2 linked regions of the Arabidopsis thaliana genome follow. The protein of the gene in region 1 interacts with the protein of each later gene in a pairwise test. Each region holds a gene or a part of one and is shown on either strand. Other genes may lie near its edges.

Region 1 (5,188 bases):
TTTTCTTTCTAATGTGTGTTTCATAAACACCAGCGACTTTATTGAAAAGAGGAACACGTAAATTGTATTCTCAAAGAACAATTTTTTTAGGAAGAGTAACATTTGTTTTCCTTATCTTAATATAAGCAACGAAATCAATCGTGCATATAAAAGTGAAATGCTATTTTGAATTTTCTAAACTTGACTAGCAAATTTTCACTAAAAAATAAAATTAAAAAGTAACGATAAAGTAGTTGTCGTATAGTCTACTCCACATGAATAAAATAATAAAGTAAATCAATAGAATGTAAATCTCTTAATTAATCATACTTATTATATAATCACAGTGGCAAAGTGGAATAAAAAAAAAAGAGGAGAATTGGATCCCGTCGGATTCTATATTTAAAGATCGCTAAACATCTCAAATCTGCCACACGTGGTCATACTTAATAGCAGCCATTAACGAAGTAATAAATTAGTCGATAATAATGTTTAACCAACATCGTATTTCTAGATCCATGAATTAGTTGGAGTAATTAACATCATTGTTTCTTAATTACGTTTAACAAGCATAGAGAAAACAATATTGTCACATATGTTAGTATAAGTTATCATAATCATTTATAAAAGCTTGTTATTAATTTTTTATATTGAAATTACTACTTTGTGTCTAATCGGAAAATGATGGAGTACTAAAATTTGAAGGACTAAAATACGTCATTATTGTTAGAGAAAACAATTACGCATAAGTGTGATTTTTTGGAAGTGGAAAAGTTAGTATGTCCCTCTATATGATATGATGGAAGTTGTTGTTCTTTTTGTGTGGATAAACATCATTTTTCCGTGACGTAATTTTTAATTTCAGTATTCATTTTATTATTCTCACTTCTTATTATCCCTTTTATATTCGCATAATTGTTTCTAAGGATTTCTATTCCCTTTTTGTTATTTTATAGGTACACTATCTTATGGATGGTGTCAACAAGCATGTACACTATCTTCCCACTACCACATATTGTCACAGAATGTTTGGTACGCGTGCTTCTATATACTTTTAATAGTACATAACAACAACAAATGAATTATGTAAGACAATTTGTTAAACTGATGTCAAAAACGGAAATACTACAAAAGACAGTATAATTGAATTACGGGTTTAATGTGTTGACAAAATATAATAAATGTAGCTCATAAAACTTCAATAATTCACTTAAATAAATTCTAATGAACCTCATAACGAATTAGATATTTTAACTAATCTTATCATGGTTTTACGAATTAATTATAATTTTTTTTTTTATTCTTTGAACAATTGAACTAAACAATATTAAACCGGACTTTAAGTTAAAACTACTAAAAACATTATTAGTTTATCAATAGAAATGATCATAGCAATTGTATACATTATAATGTGTAATTTTAAAATCCTAAAGCATATATAGTATATATCCCTTTGATTTTCATAGAAAAAAAGTAGAAAAAAATAACTATTGGGCCGATCTATAACTATTGGGCCGGTGGGTCCAACAACTAAGAACAGTAGATATTGTGTCGATTGAAGTTTTGAGATGCAAAACGTGTGCTGTTTTGAGAACACAAAAACAGCATAAACAAACGAGACCCGCAACTATAACATTCCGTAAATACCCTCATTCTCCCATCATATTTTCAAAAACTACCCTTCCCCCTATTTCCATGGCCCTTCTCTCAGTTTTCCCGCGAGAAATCCTCTCCTTCTTCCATAATCATCAAAAACAAAATGCAAAAACCCAAAAAAACAAAAAATCACACGACGCAACCACCTAGCCTCTCTGTCCATCAATCTCAATCTCTCTCTGTGTTAATGCGGAATCCGATTTAACACCGGAATCCGCCATGGAAGATGAATAAAATCCGGTCTCTCCGCTGCCTCCTCCCGGAGACCATAACCTCCGCCTCCACCGCCGCCTCAAATCGAGGATCTGACGGTAGCCAATTCAGCGTCCTATGGCGGCATCAGATCCTGGACCCGGACAGCAACATCGTCACCTATTGGAACCACGTCTTTCTCATTACCTCAATCCTCGCTCTCTTCCTCGATCCTTTCTATTTCTACGTCCCTTACGTCGGTGGTCCGGCGTGTCTCTCCATCGACATCAGCCTCGCCGCTACTGTCACTTTCTTCCGTACAGTCGCCGATATCTTCCACCTCTTGCACATTTTCATGAAATTCAGAACTGCGTTCGTCGCGAGGAGTTCTCGTGTTTTTGGTCGCGGTGAGCTTGTTATGGATTCTAGAGAGATTGCTATGAGATACTTGAAGACAGATTTCCTCATTGATGTCGCCGCCATGCTTCCCCTTCCTCAGGTTCTTAAGATTTTGCTCTTATTTTGAATGTGAAAGCAATGATATGGATTACGATTAGCTAAGATCAATGTTCAAAAATCGTTAGGCGGTAGCTAGAAGATTAAAGAACAGAGATATTTTGGGAGCCTCATGCTTTGTTTCTGACTATCTTTTGATCTCAGCTTGTTATTTGGCTAGTAATTCCAGCGGCCACAAATGGAACTGCTAATCATGCCAATAGCACTCTCGCACTTATCGTTCTTGTTCAATACATTCCAAGATCATTCATCATATTCCCACTCAACCAAAGGATTATCAAAACAACCGGGTTTATCGCCAAGACTGCTTGGGCAGGAGCTGCATACAACCTCCTATTGTACATCCTTGCTAGTCACGTAAGTTTTCTTTATCTTGTGTGTTTTTTCAAATCTTTAGGTTTCTTCAGTTTTAAGTTGCTAAGAATCTCTATTTGTGGGCAGGTGTTAGGAGCAATGTGGTATCTGTCATCAATCGGGCGGCAGTTTTCGTGCTGGTCCAACGTATGCAAGAAAGACAACGCTTTGAGAGTTTTGGATTGTCTTCCTAGCTTCTTGGATTGCAAGAGTTTAGAACAACCAGAGCGCCAGTATTGGCAGAACGTTACTCAGGTCCTTTCTCATTGTGATGCTACAAGCAGCACTACCAATTTCAAATTCGGAATGTTTGCTGAAGCCTTTACCACTCAAGTTGCTACAACAGATTTTGTGTCCAAGTACTTGTATTGTCTTTGGTGGGGTTTAAGAAATCTAAGGTATGACAACCTTTTATCTAACCAGTATCTGCTTAAATTGTCCTCCTTTGGTTTTAATAAAGGTTTTGTTTCACAGTTCTTATGGACAGAATATAACCACAAGTGTATACCTTGGCGAGACCTTGTTCTGTATAACAATTTGTATTTTTGGGTTGATTCTCTTCACACTCCTGATTGGTAACATGCAAGTAAGATTCAGAGCTTATGCATCACTCTGCAAAACTTTTCAATACAGAGACATTTTTTTGTCTTTCTAACAATAGACTTCATGATTTTTAATTTGGTGGAAAGTCTTCTCTGCAATCGATGTCAGTAAGAGTTGAGGAATGGAGAGTTAAGAGAAGAGACACTGAAGAATGGATGAGACATCGTCAACTACCTCCAGAGCTTCAAGAACGTGTCCGAAGATTTGTCCAATACAAATGGCTTGCAACCAGAGGTGTCGATGAAGAATCAATCCTCCATTCATTACCTACAGATTTACGCCGTGAAATCCAACGTCATCTTTGTCTCTCCCTTGTTCGCCGGGTACATACATCAACTCAGTCATCAAAAACTGTTATGGATTTGATTGTTTTTCAATTCAGAAGTCACATTGTTGTGGTAAGTGCAGGTCCCGTTCTTCTCTCAAATGGATGATCAACTTCTTGATGCTATATGCGGATGCCTTGTCTCATCTTTAAGCACGGCCGGGACATACATATTCCGTGAAGGTGATCCGGTGAATGAGATGCTATTTGTGATCCGAGGACAAATAGAGAGCTCAACAACAAATGGAGGAAGATCTGGTTTCTTCAACTCCACTACTCTACGACCTGGCGATTTCTGTGGGGAAGAACTTCTTACATGGGCCTTAATGCCAAACTCTACACTCAATCTTCCGTCTTCAACACGAAGCGTCCGTGCCCTCTCTGAAGTAGAAGCCTTTGCATTAAGCGCAGAGGATCTTAAGTTTGTTGCTCATCAGTTCAAACGTCTTCAAAGCAAAAAGCTTCAACACGCTTTCAGGTACTACTCACATCAATGGAGAGCATGGGGAGCATGTTTTGTCCAATCTGCATGGAGAAGATACAAGCGAAGAAAGCTTGCGAAAGAGCTCAGCCTTCACGAGAGTAGCGGATACTATTACCCGGATGAAACAGGTTACAATGAAGAAGACGAAGAAACTAGAGAGTATTACTATGGAAGTGACGAGGAAGGCGGATCAATGGACAACACAAATCTGGGAGCAACGATCTTAGCATCTAAATTTGCGGCGAACACGAGAAGAGGAACAAATCAAAAGGCTTCAAGTAGTAGTACTGGTAAGAAAGATGGATCTTCCACCAGTTTGAAGATGCCTCAACTATTCAAACCAGATGAGCCTGATTTCTCTATAGATAAAGAAGACGTTTAAAGTGTAGTCATTATGGGCAAAAAACTTTTGTGTGAACTGTTTGGTTTTAGATGGTAAATAGTTAGGAAACTCCCTTAATTATTTCAACTTGTAATTTTTCTTTTCTTTTCGTTTCGGTTTGAGGATGTTAGATATAGAAAACGAGTGTAGAGTAAAAATACATTGTTCTTAAACTGTCTCAATGTTATATAGTCTGATTTCTTCTCATAGTAGATACTACTTTTGCATACAAACTCATTTTTAAGTCTTTCAGAAGAACACTAAGGTGTTGATAGCTTCTTCGGATTGACCAGCCAATATTAACCTCAAAGATAGCAAAAATCTCATAAAGCAACCACTGAATGCAATTGAAATTTTTTGAAACTATAAGACCAAAACCAAGAATTAGAACTCCAAATTAGTCATTCATATCCAATTGAGAAGAATGGACCAACTTTTCAACAAACCTAACATATTTAATGACTAAAATTAGGTACGAAGCCGTTTTGTTATCCAATCCTTAATCTCTCTAAGCATCAGAACTTGACAACTTATTAACACCGTCTGGCTCTCTACTCTTACAAAGCTCTTCCAGAAGCGAATCCAAACTCTTCCAAGACGAACCAGTCCCTTGAGCCATAGCTTTTTTCGCCATTTTCGCATACTCTTTTACATTCTTCATCGTTGTCTTCCCCATCTCTCCCTCCATCAATTGTTT
Region 2 (4,142 bases), on another chromosome or scaffold:
GGCTTCTTCCTCCTGTGCTCAGTCTGAGCAAGTGCAGAAAGCGGCCACTGCTTTCCAGAAACAGAATACTGAAGCAGAAGCTATTATGTCTACGCCATTGTCAAACTCCACAACTGTAACAATAGAGAATGATAAATCCTTGGAAGAACTGAAAACTCCACTACTGGTACCCAGCAGCAGTAACAAGCAGGAGACGAACTCAAGAGGGAGTAGCAGAGAGGTTTCTGCTGTTCAGTCACCATCTAGGTCTGTAGCTTCAAGCGAAGAAGATGATTCAAGGGGGAAAAAACAGGGAAGAAGAGCAAGAATGTTGGATCTTGGGAAGAAAATGGGGGAGAAATTGGAGGAGAAGAGGCGTCACATGGAGGAGAAGAGTAGACAGATTGTTGAAAAGATGAGAGGACCTTCTTAACATGAGAAGGAAGAAGCTTTTGCAGGTTTCAGATGCAAAAACTGATTTATAGAAACAGAGGAAGTTAGGCATTGTTACATATGTACAGAGATGTGAGAGAAAGCCATAGATGTCCCCATATTTATCCGATCATTGAAAATCTTTATTATTCTGTAAGATATACAATACAAGAAAACAGATTTTGGTGTGGACTCAATTATACATAGGAAATGGCAGGAAAACAAAACAAGTAAAGAGACAAACAACACAAGCAAACACAGAGACTATTTATACAAAGAGAGAACCCTCTACATGAAGACTGCTCCGGTCTAGTAATCTTCCGGAGCCAATGGTTGGTGGGTACTGTGGTGAGGAGGTTCGTTCACGCTGGGGATGATCATGTACTCATAGATCAGTGCGGCGAGTGCACCACCAATGAACGGTCCAACCCAATAGATCCAATGGTTACTCCACCTCCATCCCACTAATGCTGGACCAAAGGCTCTAGCCGGATTCATAGAGGCTCCATCGAAAGGTCCTCCCACCAAAATGTTTGCCCCAACTATGAGCCCGATGGCTAGTGGCGCTATGATCCCAATACTCCCCCTCTTTGGATCGATTGCGGTCGAGTAGACAACATAAACCAAAGCAAATGTAAGTATGATCTCCATCAGTAGCCCATGAAGCTCACTAACTCCTGATGCTACATGGAAACCTACTGGTCTCTGCATCACAGAGAATCACATTCATTCATGAGCATATATTTACAGAGATATATACAAAGTTCTTGGTTCAACACAAAACTGTACCAAAAAGACAATAGTAATATATAGAGATTGATGAGAAGTAATATACCAAGCCATTAGTGGCAAGCCTCAACAAGAGACAAGCGAGGATAGCACCTATAAGCTGAGCAACCCAATAGTAGATAGCTCGAATGACCGAGATCCTGCCTCCGATTAGAGCAGCAAAAGTGACAGCGGGGTTGACGTGGCCACCAGAGACATTGATGGCTGCAGAAACAGCCGCGAACAAGGCCAATGCATGAGCTAACGCCACCAGAACTAACCCTCCAGGCGTGTTTGTCCCCGTGTGAGCCGCCGTGTCCCAATACAACTTGTCTGTCCAATAACACATATAACATAGTTCATATCACACATGCATGCATGATTATGCATAGTTCCAACGATAACATTCACTATAACTAAATTCAAAGGAAGTCTTATATATTCATTCCTTATTAAAACAAATTCTAAAATTGATTATATAAATAAGTTTGTGTAGGAGCTATACTACTAGAGTACTAGTGTTTGTTTTGACTAATACTCTCTCAAGTAAAGATGCTAACAGTATATAGCTGAAAATGTATATATTTTTGGGGGGATATTCCCTATGACCCTATGTATGTATAAACTACTAACCTAGAGCGAGGATTGAGCCTTCTCCAGCAAAGACGAAGACGAACGTGGAAAGAAACTCAGCCAAAGTGGCTCTAATGGAGTCCGGGTGAGTCGCCTCGTCAGCTCTCCCGAATCCATATGCTCTTCTAGCAGATGTAGCCATATATAACCCTAATTTAAGTGAGAGGATCAAACCTTAATGGATAAAGAAGAAGGAAGAAAAGGCAAGAGAAGAAGACTTGAAGAGAGAGAGCTTAAAAGAAGCAAAGTGGAAGCAATTAGGAGACAGATGTGATATGAGAGTGTCTGAAGCTGAACACGTGGATCCTGTTCGTGTCTATCTATTCCTTGATCTTACCTGATCATTCAATCTGGACAGTTCCTTTATTAAGATTCAATATATACATAACAATGGTACTGTGTAAATGTGTATGTATACTACTATCCATGCTGTGACTATATATCTATGCATGTGTGCCAAGTGGATCAAGTCACAATTCTCTGAATCTTGATCCGGTTTCTGTTTTCCTCGTCATTTATTTTGTCTTTCCATGTGAGATCGTAGAGTCAAAATATCGATCCCATGATATTTATTACAAGTTTTTGGTAAGAACGAATATTATGAAAGAAAAAAAAGAGAGACTAAAACTTGCTTTAGTTTGATAATTTAAGACAGATTCAATCTAAGAACTTGTTATAAATATTTCACTTTTGTTGATTACAAAGAACGAGATTCTACATCATTAGATTTTATTTTAGAACAGAAAATATATAACCTAAGAATATTTACGTTTTGAGCACATAAACTAGATATCATTAGATTATTTATAAAGTGAAAAGCTACTAATTAAAACGCAAATGAATTTTAATAAGATATTTATTAATCTAACATTTTAAACTGTTACAAATAACTCCAACACTACGTACGAAAACACTAATCATTCCACTTATCATTGTTATAATAAGTTGCTTCATTTAATTTATCTTGGAGCCAATGCTTTGATGGCCATTTTTAAACCGGTGGTACAATCCTCGGGAGTATATGTTCCGATGAAATAATTATAACCGTAATTAAGCTGGATCTTATCGTCTCCGGACGAATATTCTATCGCTCCAACGTTCGCTTCACAAGTTTCATAACCAGTTCGGTTTACCACAATCAAATTAAATCTCTGATAATCGTATTTGAATTCTGCAATGTATCACCATGAATATACCAATATAAATTTATTGTCTTAGCAGATTAAAGTTAAGCCAATATTAAAGTATGATGGATATGGTTTATCAATCACACTACCGTACCAAGATTTTTTTTAAGATCATTGATACATACCGAGAATATCACCAGCATAAAAGGTTTTGCCTCGTGCCCAAGTGTCCATCGGAACAACCGGATCCCAACCATCGTCGCCTCCCACAATGTAGGTGGTCGGTCTCCGGGCATAGGTCACGGCGTTGGCTAGAAACAAGCACAACACTGTCATGACAATAGCTATTGGAACCGTAACCGCCACATAAGAAACGTGTCCAGATGATTGAGCCATTTGTGTTAATAGGTCAAAGGTTTTAGTTTTGTGAATTGTTCAACACCTAATTATTAATATATATATATATATATAGACTATTCTTGAATTTGAAAAAGATCAATACATTTCCATGCAATGTATACCTGGTTATGGAAGAGCTTTTTGGTCAATGGGTGCATGGTTTTAATTTGGTGAACTAGTAATAAGACTTTATATATACGTATGACTATTTTTATCAGTTGCCAGAAATAGAAACAAATTCAATAAATTCGTAGATTTCCTTTTGAATTGACTTGATTGAGTCATGCTAGCTTGCGGTTATGGAAGAAATGTAAATATTGAAAATGATAGTGTTGTCATATCATCATATGAATGAATATCATATTATATAGTACACCTTGTATATTTTTGAAAAAAATAATTCTAGATAGAGATAATACGAATTGGTTTGCAGTTAGACGTCACGTAAAAGGAACATTTACGAAGTACTACTAACGCATAAACGGAGAAGGCATCGAGTCGTACATTTAAACCAAATGGATCGGAGGATTTAATAGAGGAGCTTTGGTCCAAAGGGCTAGTCGAAACAGAGGATGTAGTTCTTTGGAGAGGTAAAGATGATCGATTTCAGGCCACATTCAACACCAAAGACACATGGGAAGCAACACGGGAGCAAAAACCAAATAAGGAAGGTATGAAGGTATCTGGTTCTCGCACGCCACACCAAAATACTCTTTTAATTTCTAATTTGGCTAATAACTCATAACCGTTTAACTACAAGAGATAGATTGTTTACTTGGAATGTAAGGATTAATACCTCGTGTG

What was found.
Region 2: the proteins of CNGC18 (region 1) and BETA-TIP interact in a protein complementation assay, tested with the Arabidopsis thaliana proteins (one large-scale study listed by BioGRID).

The regions. Positions count from the first base shown.
Region 1 is NC_003076.8:4,807,571-4,812,758, reverse strand, and holds CNGC18 (cyclic nucleotide-gated channel 18), read left to right. Parts: upstream 1-1,665; 5' UTR 1,666-1,861; coding exon 1,862-2,326; intron 2,327-2,487; coding exon 2,488-2,700; intron 2,701-2,784; coding exon 2,785-3,095; intron 3,096-3,171; coding exon 3,172-3,283; intron 3,284-3,386; coding exon 3,387-3,623; intron 3,624-3,708; coding exon 3,709-4,491; 3' UTR 4,492-4,668; downstream 4,669-5,188. Other genes in the region: AT5G14860 (UDP-Glycosyltransferase superfamily protein), read right to left, coding at 5,000-5,188. UniProt on the Arabidopsis thaliana protein: Cyclic nucleotide-gated ion channel required for directional pollen tube growth into the transmitting tract. Acts as a Ca(2+)-permeable divalent cation-selective channel inhibited by either lanthanum or gadolinium.
Region 2 is NC_003070.9:6,128,021-6,132,162, reverse strand, and holds BETA-TIP (beta-tonoplast intrinsic protein), read right to left. Parts: upstream 2,139-4,142; 5' UTR 1,955-2,138; coding exon 1,813-1,954; intron 1,513-1,812; coding exon 1,247-1,512; intron 1,117-1,246; coding exon 721-1,116; 3' UTR 536-720; downstream 1-535. Other genes in the region: AT1G17820 (testis-expressed sequence 2-like protein (DUF2404)), read left to right, coding at 1-412; ENODL22 (early nodulin-like protein 22), read right to left, coding at 2,772-2,983, 3,125-3,335. UniProt on the Arabidopsis thaliana protein: Aquaporins facilitate the transport of water and small neutral solutes across cell membranes.